Linked DNA regions of Macaca fascicularis. The protein of the gene in region 4 interacts with the protein of the main gene of each other region in a pairwise test. Links are inferred from orthologs where the notes say so. Each region holds a gene or a part of one and is shown on either strand. Other genes may lie near its edges.

Evidence for each region. The genes of interacting proteins can lie anywhere in the genome.
Region 1: the proteins of ITSN2 (region 4) and LARP6 interact in a two-hybrid assay, tested with the Homo sapiens proteins (2 studies listed by BioGRID, with this or other methods). The link is inferred for Macaca fascicularis from reciprocal best matches to the Homo sapiens genes ITSN2 and LARP6.
Region 2: the proteins of ITSN2 (region 4) and KHDRBS1 interact in a two-hybrid assay, tested with the Homo sapiens proteins (2 studies listed by BioGRID and IntAct, with this or other methods). The link is inferred for Macaca fascicularis from reciprocal best matches to the Homo sapiens genes ITSN2 and KHDRBS1.
Region 3: the proteins of ITSN2 (region 4) and WAS interact in a two-hybrid assay, tested with the Homo sapiens proteins (2 studies listed by BioGRID). The link is inferred for Macaca fascicularis from reciprocal best matches to the Homo sapiens genes ITSN2 and WAS.

Annotation. Positions count from the first base shown.
Region 1 is NC_088381.1:47,633,729-47,637,248, reverse strand, and holds part of LARP6 (la-related protein 6), read left to right. Parts: intron 1-3,279; coding exon 3,280-3,490; intron 3,491-3,520. UniProt on the Homo sapiens protein: Regulates the coordinated translation of type I collagen alpha-1 and alpha-2 mRNAs, CO1A1 and CO1A2. Stabilizes mRNAs through high-affinity binding of a stem-loop structure in their 5' UTR.
Region 2 is NC_088375.1:202,998,460-203,001,979, forward strand, and holds part of KHDRBS1 (KH domain-containing, RNA-binding, signal transduction-associated protein 1), read right to left. Parts: intron 2,327-3,520; coding exon 2,180-2,326; intron 1-2,179. UniProt on the Homo sapiens protein: Recruited and tyrosine phosphorylated by several receptor systems, for example the T-cell, leptin and insulin receptors. Once phosphorylated, functions as an adapter protein in signal transduction cascades by binding to SH2 and SH3 domain-containing proteins.
Region 3 is NC_088395.1:48,845,605-48,848,192, reverse strand, and holds the end of WAS (actin nucleation-promoting factor WAS), read right to left. Parts: coding exon 2,513-2,588; intron 841-2,512; coding exon 785-840; 3' UTR 520-784; downstream 1-519. UniProt on the Homo sapiens protein: Effector protein for Rho-type GTPases that regulates actin filament reorganization via its interaction with the Arp2/3 complex. Important for efficient actin polymerization. Possible regulator of lymphocyte and platelet function.
Region 4 is NC_088387.1:97,943,628-97,947,147, forward strand, and holds part of ITSN2 (intersectin-2), read left to right. Parts: intron 1-368; coding exon 369-432; intron 433-1,571; coding exon 1,572-1,735; intron 1,736-3,520.

The DNA.
Region 1 (3,520 bases), on a different chromosome or scaffold from region 4:
ACGGCAATTGAAGCCGGGCGTGGTGGCGGGCGCCTGTAGTCCCATCTACTCGAGAGGCTGAGGCAGGAGAATGGCGTGAGCCCAGTAGGCGGAGCTTGCAGTGAGTCGAGATCGCGCCACTGCACTCCAGCCTGGGCAATGCAGCAAGACTCTTTCTCAAAAAAAAAAAAGAAAAAAAAAAAAGAAAAGAAAAGAAGAAGAAGAAGAAGAAAGCAATTGAGAAAGTGTTTGCTATTGGATGTTGGGTGAGTCAGCTTAATGCCTGATTTTTATCATCCCATTTTAACAAGACTTAAAAAAAAAAAAACTTTAAAATTTAGTCTCCCTGTTATTTTCTTCACTATACCTTTCTTTCTTTTTTTTTTTTTTTTTTGAGACAGTCTCGCTGTGTCACCCAGGCTGGAGTGCAGTGGTGTGATTTCCACTTACTGCTACCTCCACCTCCCAAGTTCAAGGGATTCTCCTGCCTCAGCCTCCCGAGTAGCTGGGATTACAGGCATGCACCACCACACCCAGCTACTTTTTTGTATTTTTAGTAGAGATGGGCTTTCACCATGTTGGCCAGGCTGGTCTTGAACTTCAACCTCAAGTAATCCACCCACCTCAGCCTCCCAAAGTGCTGGGTTACAGGTGTGAGCCACCGCGCCAGGCCTCTTCACTCCGTATTTACCTTGAGACATCAATAAGGTATTTTAAAAGCCATTCCCAGGCTGCCTACAGGCAAATAGCTAAAACTCTTTATTTTTAATCAACCAATGCCTATATTTTATACTAATTATAATTTCTGAATTTGAAAAATTATTAAATAGATTTATTTGCTTTTTTCTCTCTTGCCATATTTTTTTCCCTCATTTTGAGTATTCCACAGTTGCTTCTTTTCTTTTTTTTTCTTTGTGAGGCTGAGAGCCAATGAAAATTTTGTTGAAGGACATATATGTATGTGTCTTTTCCAGCGTTAAGCGATCACAGTAATAGGCCTGTTGAGATTACTGGTCCTGACATTGAGTTGCTAAACCAACTCCTATAACTACCTACCTGCAACTTTCTGCTAACTTCTAATAATGGCATCAGTTATGATGTGGATAATCAGTATTCTCTAAATGTTTATTGGTTTGAAATTGTTATAATCCCCTTATGAAAGATTAGCCTTCCTAAGGAAGCTCTGTCCAGGATTGCTTTGGCTTGTTCCTGTCACCTAATGTTCTTAGGGAGAGGGAGAGAAGGAAGTCTACCCAGGTGGTGCTGCTGGTGGTGGTGGGCTTTATTAAGAAGAGCCTGGTGACGGGATTGTTTCCAGAGTCCATTGCAGGGTCCTAGCAAAACATATAAGCTATTATGTATACTGGATTTGGAGACAGAGGATTTGAGTTTAAATTCTAGATCTGCCTCCTATGAATGAGTGAAGGAATTTATCTGTGCCTACTGAGCTTTGAGGGTATGCTAGGCACTCTTCTGGATATTTTCACGTATTAATTCATTGAATCTTCACAACACTCCCATGAGGGTAGGGACTATCATGATTCCCAATTTACAGGTGATGAAACTGAAGTGAGATGCAGTGGAGTTCCTTGCCTAAATTTACTTAACTAATAAACAGTGGTACAGGTTGAACATCCTTAATAAAAAAATTCAAAATCTGAAATGCTGTAAAATCAGAAACATTTTGAGCCACCATGACACCACAGGTTTAACATGGGTTAAAAACTGAGACAGCGACACCTTTGCTTTCCGCTGGTTCAGAAACTTTGTTTCATGCACAAAATTATTAAAAATGTTGCATAAGATTACCTCAGGTTATCTGTACAAGGTATATATGAAACATAAATGAATTTGCATTTAGACTTGGGTCCTATCCTTGAGATATCTCATTACGTATCTGCAGATATTCCAAACTCTGGAAAAATCGGAAATCTGAAACACTTCTGGTCCCAGGCATTTGGGATAAGGGATACTCAGTCTGAACCAAGCATTTGGACCCAGGCAGTCTTAACTCTAAAGCCAGGACTCCTAGAGCCAGCAGCCCTAGGAAATTACACTCCCATCTGTAATTCCAGCACTTTGGGAGGCCAAGGCAGGTGGCTTGAGAGGCAGTGATCATGTATCCACATGGAGATCGCACCACTGCAGTGACTCCTGAGAGGCAGTGATCATGTATCCACATGGAGATCGCACCACTGCACTCCAGGTCTTGTCCTGAACCAGCTAAGAAATCAAGCTTTTTTTCTTTAATAAATATGGAGGATCTTACTGAAAGGTCAAGTGACTGCTATACTGTCTTCTAGAAACTAGGATTTGAGGGGGTGGAGTAGAAGAGGAAGAATAAGAGGGTATATGTGAAAAACATTTTGCCATATGTGAAAAACATATGGGGGCAGAGCGCCACATACATGTCAGCAGAGGGTGTTGTTATAATAATAATTATTCTTATTTTGAGACAGGGTCTCACTCTATCAACCAGTCTGAGGTGCAGTGGTGCAATCTTGGCTCACTGCAACTTAGACCTCCCAGGCTCAAGCTCTCCTCCCACCTCAGCCTCCCAAGTAGCTGGGACTATAGGCCTGCACCACCACACCTGGCTAATTTTTTTGTGTGTTTTTTGTAGCGACAGGGGTCCCGCTATGTTGCCCAGGCTGGTCTCAAACTCCTGGGCTCAGGCTGCCTGCCTTGGCCTCCCAAAGTGCTGGGATTCCAGATGGGAGCCACGATGCCTGGCCAGTTATTATTTTTATGATCTTCCATACTTGTTAAAAATGAAAGATTGACTTCTTAGCTGTTTGGGGGCAAATCTCTCCTTCTGTGACCATGTGACCCAGTGTCATCACCTAGGGCTGCCATAACAAAATACCATGAGCTGGATGGTTTAGAACAACAGAAATATATTGTTTCATGGTTCTGGAGGTCTGAAGCCTGAAATCAAGTGCCCTCTGAAAGTACTAGAAATGGATCCATTCCAGGCATCTTTCCTCACTTCTAGTGGCAGTCTTTGGCATTCCTTGGGTTTTGCTGCATCACCCCAGTGTCTCCCTTCGCCTTCACATGATGTTCTCTCTGTGTGCATGTCTGTGTTCAAATTTCCCCTTTTGATAAGGACCCCAGTTGTGTTGGATTAGGGGGTCTACCCTACTCCAGTAAGACCTCATCTTAATTAATTGCATCTGCAGTGACCCCCATTTCCAAATAACATCATATTCCAAGGTACTGCGGGTCAGGACTTCAACATATGAATTTTTGGGGGACACAGTTCAACCTCTAACACCTGGTGTCTCCTTCTGGTCTCAGTGGCACCACTGCAAGTGGAGGCGAGAATGAGCGTGAGGACCTGGAGCAGGAGTGGAAGCCCCCGGACGAGGAGTTGATCAAGAAACTGGTGGATCAGATCGAATTCTACTTTTCAGATGAAAACCTGGAGAAGGACGCCTTTTTGCTAAAGCACGTGAGGAGGAACAAGCTGGGATATGTGAGCGTTAAGCTACTCACGTCCTTTAAAAAGGTGAGGCTTGGTTCTCAGAAGCTGCTTCAA
Region 2 (3,520 bases), on a different chromosome or scaffold from region 4:
CGTAATTCCCTACATGCAAGCACTTACCACATCATTTTAGAATTGTCTGTCACTAAACTGTAAGCTCTTCAGGAGCCATTTTTGTAACTTTACACCGAAGCATAGTATCAGACATCTGACAGATATTTAAGAAATGTTTGGATGAAAAACCTGAAGTTCAGAAAAATGAAATGATAACCTGTCCAGGAAGACATACAGAGACAGATATACATGGTCCAGTGCTCTTTCTACTGCACTGTGAGGCATTACTGGTATAATTAATTATTCTAAGGGGAAAATGGAGGGCTCTGGTCACAGATGCAAAAATAATCTCACTTTTTTTTCCTCCACAAGAGGGAAAAATCAAGCCAAATGCCATTTGCAAATCTTTTCACACTTCCTGTTGAGAGCCATTCAGTCTTAATACTTCATGCATTTTTACACATCCCAGATGTATACAGTTTCCATAGATGATGCTAGTCTTTGATGCCCCCCTCAATTGTCTGGCTCCTCCTACCTTACACATTACTGCTGCTTGAGACTCACACCTTGGAGAATCAAGTAACTAATGCCAGACCATTCCTCAGACTCCTCCAACTACCACAGCAACACTGAGGAAACCCCCATCTCCCCGGCAGGCATCTTTTTCAAAAGATTCACTTACATGGAAGCCTCATAAACCTAAGCCTTCTGAGGAATATGAGGGAGACTAACAATAAAGAGAGAAGATGGGTATTCCCTCTGCAGTCCTTTGGAAATTGAATGCTTGGGTGATCAATAGAACACCCCAAAAAGAGTAAAAAGAATTCCCTTGAGTAAGATTAACCAGCTGTGTTTTTCTCTAGGATATGTCAAATGGTCTGTTTCACGTCGAACATTCTAATGAAGATGAGGTACTTGAAAGCAAAGCAGCTGCGAAGACATTTGAGACTGTTGGCATCCTTGGAGTTCAGCATTACGGGTACAAAATGCCTGAAATTTTTATTTTCTTTGGAAAAGGAGTTTTACTCTTGTTGCCCAGGCTGGAGTCCAATGGCACAATCTTGGCTTACCGCAACCTCTGCCTCCTGGGTTCAAGCGATTCTCCTGCTTCAGCCTCCTGAGTAGCTGGGCGCCACCACGCCCAGCTAATTTTTAGTAGAGACGGGGTTTCACCACGTTGGTCAGGCTGGTCTCGAACTCTCGACCTCAGGTGATCTGCCCACCTCGGCCTCCCAAATTGTTGGGATTATAGGCGTTACCCACCGTGTCCGGCCCACACTGCCTATAAATTTTTGCTCTATCAATTTTCACATCCTCTGACACTACATTTAGTTCCAACTCCCTCATTTAACATTCAAGAAAACCAAGGACTGTATCTTACCACCTCTCAGTTTTCTGATGAACACATGACACTTACTCAATTCTAGTTGAATAATATTCCAAATCCTTCATAAGCTTCCAGATTCATCCTTGTTATTAAATATTCAACAGTAGTATGTTAACTCTGACAACCACCTGGCCTTGCTAAAAGGCAAAAACAGTACCATTTCCTATTTATTCAAAGTAACGTTCCAACCAAGTATTTAAAGATAGTAATAAGCAAGATAGATAAACTGGCCTGTCCTATCTCTATCTAGTCCTCAGTTATAGTCTGAAAAAAGCTGCTCACCAATCTGTGAAACATCAACAGTCAACCTCTTCCAAACCAAACTCATCCTCAGCAAACTCCTCCAGGAAAGAAATCCCTGAGTGTGCTCAGAATTTAACTCAGTAACACTAGATGTTATAAGCTTCTTGCTGCTAGCCTCTACTCTCTACAGCATAAACTTCTTGAGTGCAGGGACGCACCTTAGTCACCTTCTTAATACAATCTCCTTGTTCCACACTACTACCAAAATACTCAGCTAGGTGAAGACCCTGTTAAACCGTAGTTAACCAAGTATCAGAATGCAGGCACATTGTGGACCCGAGATACTGACAACAGATACCGGTACACAATGACTACCACATTAGACAAGGAGGGACAGAGTGGCCTTGGAGCATAATGCTTGGAGAACTAGGTACAAGCAATGAACTACCGCAGGAAAATGAACATAAATGCAGAATTTGGTATACATACAGGTTATGCAGAGACCTTAGTTAAGAAACCCTACCTTCACAACAGCATAAGATCCCAGTTCTCTTTTGCTCAGAAGACACAGGATATGGATTTCCTTACCGGTACTAGAAATTTCTTGACTTCCTCCATGGCATGGGCCATAAGAGCATAAGCCTCACATGGGGGTCCAAAGACTTCAATGAAGACATGCAGATCCATATTCAAGTGGGCATATTTGGGGTCTCCACCTTTGCGCAGCTCTTCCTCCTATGGAAAAATGCAGAGAAACGTCACACCACATGGACTAGGGAGAAAACAACACCTTTACCTCTAAGCCAAAGGAACAGCAAGAAATATCCCCAATGTCTAATTAAACTAACAGTAAAGTTTAATTGGTATGAGCTGAGAAGAATTAAAAAAAAAAAAAAAGAAAGAAAAACAGTAAAGTTTAAGAAAGTAAAACAAGCAGCCAGGCATGGTGGCTCATGCCTGTAATCCCAGCACTTTGGGAGGCCGAGGTGGGCGGATCACTAGGTCAGGAGTTCCAGACCAGCCTGACCAACGTGATGAAGCCTCACCTCTACTAAAAATACAAAAATTAGCCGGGCATGGTGGTGCTTGCCTGTAATCCCAGCTACTCAGGAGGCTGAGGCAGGAGAATCGCTTGAACCCGGGAGTTGGAGGTTGCGCCACTGCACTCCAGCCTGGGCAAGAGCAAGGCTCCGTCTCAAGAAAAAAAAAAAAGTGAAACAAGCTCTGAAGAACAGTAATTTGCACAGCCTGCTAAACTTGCACATGGTCTGCTGCTAACAGTTAATTGTCATCTTAAATCCCTGAGATATCCACTGGAGCTCTTACTAAAAGCATAAAGAAGAAAAACTTAATTCTAGTCTCTATTCAGATAATAGCTGTGTGCCAAGCATTTGTTTTTAAATCTCAGGTAGAGCTGTTAATCACCACGAGCTCTGCTTATCTGCTTATATGGTCTAGGGAGTGCTAGGGGAAGAAAGAAGTCAGGACAGAGAGAAGAAAAGCTCATGTAAATCTCATTAGCTAGAACAACACACTTCAGCCCTAACTATATGCATCTAGTAAGAAATGACCTGAGAAAACAAACACGTGTCCATTAGGCTACATAAAAGGAGGATTGAAAGAATAGGTTTTCGGACTGTAGCAGGCATATCTCATCAAATAAAGTGACCCCAGAAGGCTAAGACCATTCTGTTTTGGTGAGAAGTTTCTTGTCACAGAGTACACAGTATATGCGGCTATGGCATGGGAAAAGACTCATTAGATTCTGTAGTCAGGATTACTCATGGCTCCTTTTGGAATACATTCTTTTAGTGAGCCTCACATTCCAGCCGGCTATAAAACAAACCAACTAATCCTCAAACTCTTCTGCTCTCACAACACTATTGTTCTCACTTTTCCAGGTTACAAAAAAGGGGGTGTGCTGTTTGC
Region 3 (2,588 bases), on a different chromosome or scaffold from region 4:
TTTGCACTGGTTGCTCCCTCTGCCTGGAACCCCTTTTCCCCAAATATTAACTGGGCCTACATTTCTCTCTCTTTAGGTCCAGCACCACCATCACCTACTCCAAGTGACCTTCCCTGACTGCTCCATCTGAATGTTGTTTCGTCTGTATCTCTGCCTTACCACTCCACAGCATTTATCATGATCTGCAACTATCTTTTATTTCTATTTGATTTCTTGTTTCTTATCTGTCTCTTCCCCTAGAATGTGGATTTCACCCCCTAAGGGCGGGAATTTTTGTCTGCTTTTTTTTCCACTGCTTGATTCCTAGCCCCTAAAATAGTACCTGGCAATAAATGTTGAAAGACAGAGGGGCAGAAGGAAACAAAGAAATACAGGCTAAATGACTGAGGGAATGAATGAATGAATGAATGAATATATACATACATGTAAGGCTAAATAAATAAAATGGGATAAATGAATAAAAGGGACTTTGGAGGAAAGGGACCCCATTCCCACATTTGGAATGTAAACAGACTGAGATTTATAGAGAGACAGAAAGATAATTCCTTTATTTTTCTTTAAAAATCCTTGAGTGAAGAGAACTGAGAATTTTTGTATAAAAAGGGCCTTGGGATTGCTAGGGTGAGTGTGAGGACCAGGCAGGGATGACAGCATTGGAGGGACTGGTGAGGAAGAAATGGGGATTGGGGGCCTGGAAGAGGAGAGTGGAGGGTGGGCACAGAGCAGGTGGAGGGGGAGCCGTGTCCTGCGGGGAGGAGCACAGGGCAGCAAGTAACTCAGCCACTCAGTCATCCCATTCATCATCTTCATCTTCATCGCCAGCCTGGTCCTCCCCTTCGTCTGGAAGGAAGGAGAAAGATGCCTTGGGAAGTTGGTCGGGGGCTTCATAGGGCCTGGGAGGTGAGGACTGGACCCTGGGAGTCTGAGGTCTCATGCTAGAGGAGGGCGAGTTAGAGTTTCCATTTGGGACAAGAGGAATTATAGTTGGGGTCTGAGTTCTAGTTGGAGTTGAAGTGTATGCTGTCAAAAATGTGGTTAGTGGAGATATTGTCAAACAAAGGGTTAATGTTAACCTATTTATCACATAATAGGGTAAATTTACATATTATTAGCAAAGGTGTGATAATATGTTATTGCTTCCTGTCTGGTTAACGCTAATATTTTTGACACATAATGGGGTTAATGACAATAACATTATCAAAATTAGCCAGGTGTAGTGGCGGGCCTGTAGTCCCAGCTACTCGGGAGGCTGAGGCAGGAGAATCGCTTGAACCCAGGAGGCAGAGGTTGCAGTTAGCCAAGATCACGCCACTGCACTCCAGCCTAGGCGACAGAGCAAGACTCCATCTCAAAAGAAAAAAAAAAAATCGTTGTCAAAAGATGAAGTTCCTATAGTAGGTTGATATTAATATTTGCATCATATAATGGATTGGTGACAGTACTGCTGACAGATTAAGAGAGTAATAGTAAAATTATTATAAAGAGATTAGGTTAACAGCCGGGTGTGGTGGCTCATGCCTGTAATCCCAGCACTCTGGGAGGCTGAGGCGGGCAGATCGCTTGAGGCCAGGAGTTGCAGAGCAGCCTGGGCAACATGAGAGTAGTGAGAGCTTGGTAGTGAGAGCTCATCACTACCAAAAAAGCACCAAAAATTAGCCAGGTATGGTGGCACACACCTGTAGTCCCAGCAACTTTGGGAGCTGAGGTGGGAGGATCGCTTGAACCTGGGAGGTTGAGGCTGCAGTGAGCCATGATTGCACCACTGTACTCCAGCCTGGGACACAGAGCAAGACCCTGTCTCAAAAATGTTTTTAAAAAGATTAGATTGTATTATCTCATAATGAGTTAATGTAAATCTGTTGACACATGGAATTAAAATTAATATTATTGTCAACAATGGTGTTCTTCATAATATTGTCATCACATAATGGGTTGATTTTTTTTTTCTTTTTTTTTTGAGAAAAAAAAAAAGGCTGGAGTGCAGTGGCATAATCATGGATCACTGCTGCCTTGACCTTCCAGGCTCAAACAATCCTCTCACCTCAGCCTCCCAAGTAGCTGGGACCACAGGCACACACCACTATGCTCAACTACTTTTTTTTGAATTTAGTTTTTATGGAAACGAGGTCTCACTATATTGCCCAGGCTGGTCTTGAACTCCTGGGCTCAAGCAATCCTCCTGCCTTGGCCTCCCAAAGTTCCTGGATTACAGGCATGAGCCACCGTGCCCTGCCAGCTGATGTTAATAGTACTGAACGTGTGGGAATGACATTAATATTGTGGACACACCCTGGCATTAATGTTAATATTATTGTCAAAGTTGGAGTTAATTATGTTATTGTCACATAATGACTTAATGTTAACTTTGTCAAAAAGGAGGCTGACACAAGATTCATGTTAATGCTGTCAACAGATGGGGCTGATGTCACTATTGGTGGTGACTGCTGGGATTGTTCTGAGGCCAGTGCTAGCCCTGGGAGCCAGGTTTGAGGCCCTGGCAGGATCAGCTCACCGGAGGAGTGGATGGCTCTGCTCCTCTTCTGCATCACGTGCATCAGGGCCCCCACCAGTCCCTCTGAGCTCTGAGG
Region 4 (3,520 bases):
AAACTCCAGTAGGACTGTCTCCTAACACCTGGTACTTTTTATATTGAAACTCGTTTAGGGAATAGTGTTTTTAAATATAAATTTTACTAAGTGGAAGTATTTTTAAGGAAGATCCCAATTGTGGAAAAACTAAGATGAATAATATTTCATCACTGATTAATATACAATAGAAATGCAGATGTGACTTTTGTTTTAAAAATCTGTCTTATTAAAGTTATTTAAATAATTTTTATTTGTGTTTCTTTTGCATTATTTAATGATTGGTATTAAAATTATAAATCATTAACATATACCCATTATTATTCAGAAGCATTGGAATAATTTCATTTACTAATGTACTTCTTGGGTTTTGTTTTTATTACTTTCAGGTGATCAAGCACGTAATTTTTTCCTACAGTCAGGTCTACCGGCCCCCGTTTTAGCTGAAATATGGTAAAGTGTTTTCTTTTATAGATGAACCTAATTTTCTGATAGTATTTTTTTTTGTAATATAGTGTTAACATAAAATTGTTTTTAGTTGCATTCTATTGGTTATTAAGAATATTTCTGCCAGCCCTTTGGGAGTCTGAGGTAGGAGGATTGCTTGAGGCCAGCCTGGGCAACATAGTGAGAACCCTGTCTCTACAGAAAATTAAAAAAAAAATTAGCTGGGTGTGGTGGCCCACACCTCTAGTCCCAGCTCCTCAGGGAGGCCAAGATGGAAGGATTGCTTGAGCCCAGGAATTCAGTGCTTAAGAGAACTATGATTGTGTCACTGCACCCTAGCCTGGATGACAGAATGAGACTCTCTTAAAAAAAAAAAAAAATTCCTTCAGTTTTTTGGAGAATAAATTTTATTGAGCAAATAAAATGATTGAAAATAATTCTCTAATTTCTAATTTCATTAATTAGATTAATTTAGATAAACTAATTAGATAAACGAATTTCATTAATTAGAAATAGTTCTCTAATTTCTAATTTCATTAGAATTTTCTAAGGGAAGATATATACATTGTCATTGAGAAAAATTCCCTTGTAATTTGGCAGAATCTCAAAATCCTTTGTTACTTTGTAGTTTCATTTATATCATAATACATAAACCCCAAATTAGTCCTCGCTTCCCCTGCTCCTTCTTTGAAGAAACGATTCTCCATAATATCTGTTTTTTTAAAAACGTTTACAATAAGTAACAACCCCTACCCCGTCTTTCCACTTGGAATATTCTCATGCCTGGCAGTGTATGAGGTACATAGCAAGTATTCAATAAATATTTGGACAAATGAATAAATTAAATTTGAAGTATTATACTCTTGAATTTTTTTATACCTAAACTGGTGGAATTCAGCCCAAAGGTTTCTAGATTCTGTATAGACAGTCAGTGTTTTATTAGTTGTTATCTCTGGTCAGTATTTCTTAATGTGTAGGTTTTATCTTTTTGTTATTATATATTTTACATATTAGATATTTTAAATTTAGTGATGATGCACACGTGAATGCCATATCATCTTTTTTACTTTGTTAACCTCCAAAATAACATTAGTTTTCCCACCACCACCCCACATACCAATCTACCTACCTCATGCTCCTTTTAGGGCTTTATCAGACCTAAACAAGGATGGGAAGATGGATCAGCAAGAGTTCTCCATAGCTATGAAACTCATCAAACTGAAGCTTCAAGGCCAACAATTGCCTGTGGTTCTCCCTCCCATTATGAAGCAACCCCCTATGTTTTCTCCATTAATTTCTGCTCGTTTTGGTAAGTGTGTATTAATTTAAATACCTGTATTTGCTACTTAAACTTTATCCCTAGACATATTTGAGTATTAGAAAAGGATTTGTTAGCACAAAATGACAATCCCCAAATTCCAAGTTAATTTTCATTTTAGAGATAATAAATATTAAATTCACTGTCACAGGTAGGGGATCCATGTGTTCTGGTTTTCTAGGGACAGTTCTGATTTATGCCTTTTGTCCTGGCACCTGGTCCAGTTAGTGTCTCCTTTTACAACTCCTAGTTGTGTGATAAATTATATGGTCTCCCTAGGTATAGCCAATCCCAAATACTAGTCTTAGTTTCCTCTCTCTATATATATATATTAGTAATATAGAAAAAATTTTGAGCAGTTTTAAACTCACTTGAAATGGTTTGATTTGGGAGATAATTTAAAATTTTATGTAAGTTGAATTTTTTTTAAAGGTTAATTAGCCAGCTAAATTTAGGGCCAAAAGTTGCAGACTTTGGGCTCATAGGTTTACATATTCATCAGCGATAACCAGGTGGTATGTTTTCTGTTAAGTTTGATCAGGCAATTTCTTATAATTATATGTGAGAAACACTCATTTTGAATGGAACATTCAATTAGGTATGTCTGTGTATCTGAAACATGTTCCTTCACTACATATTTTAGAACATAGGCCGGGCGCGGTGGCTCAAGCCTGTAATCCCAGCACTTTGGGAGGCCAAGACGGGCGGATCACGAGGTCAGGAGATCAAGACCATCCTGGCTAACACGGTGAAACCCCGTCTCTACTAAAAAAATACAAAAAACTAGCCGGGCGAGGTGGCAGGCGCCTGTAGTCCCAGCTACTGGGAGGCTGAGGCAGGAGAATGGCGTAAACCCGGGAGGCAGAGCTTGCAGTGAGCTGAATCCGGCTACTGCACTCCAGCCTGGGCGACAGAGCAAGACTCTGTCTCAAAAAAAAAAAAAAAAAAAAAGAACATAGAATTCTAGAGCTGGTTATAGGGGTGTGTGCCTGTAGTTCTGGCTGCCTGGGAGGCTGTGGGTAGGATTGCTTGAGTCTAGGAGTTTGAGGTTGTAGCGTGCTATGATCATACCTGTGAATAGCCACTTCATTCTAGTCTGGGCAACATAGTGAGACCCCCATCTCAAACGAACAACAAACTCCACAAAATTATTTCACTATTGTAGTGAATTCTGGAGATAAACACCAAATCGTTGTGTGACCATATTTATATATTAGTATTCTGCAGTTAATAAATGAATAAAAGTCATCACTTTGTTCTTTTTAAAGACTTGTCCTTGAATTCATAGGAATGTTACTTACAAGAAAAGGAAAATATGTGACACACTTTCTTGCAAATAATGCATGTGCATAAGTGGATCTCATAAAATATCTACTACTTACAGTCTTTTTGTTTGGGGGGAGTGTGAGAGAGAGAGAGAAGAGGGAGTGTGTGTGTGTGGGGGGGGGGTGTGAGTGTGTGGGTGTGTGTGTGTGGGGGGTGTGTGGGTGTGAGTGTGTGGGTGTATGTGAGTGTGTGTGTGTGTGTGTGAGTGTGTGTGTATTAAGTAACTTAGTAGCACTGTATTATCCTATCACAAAAACCTCGTTGGATCTGGTAATATATTCTTTCCTTGAGGATACTCATATTCAATTGGAAAAGGCTGCTTAGTTTTATTCATGATGAGAGAGGAGAATATTTAACTCTTTACTAGGTATTTTCTTAGTTCATACAGATCAGAATATTAGTATTAGAGCAGCAGTTTACCTCCCTCATTGCTGGGTCGAAGGATAATTT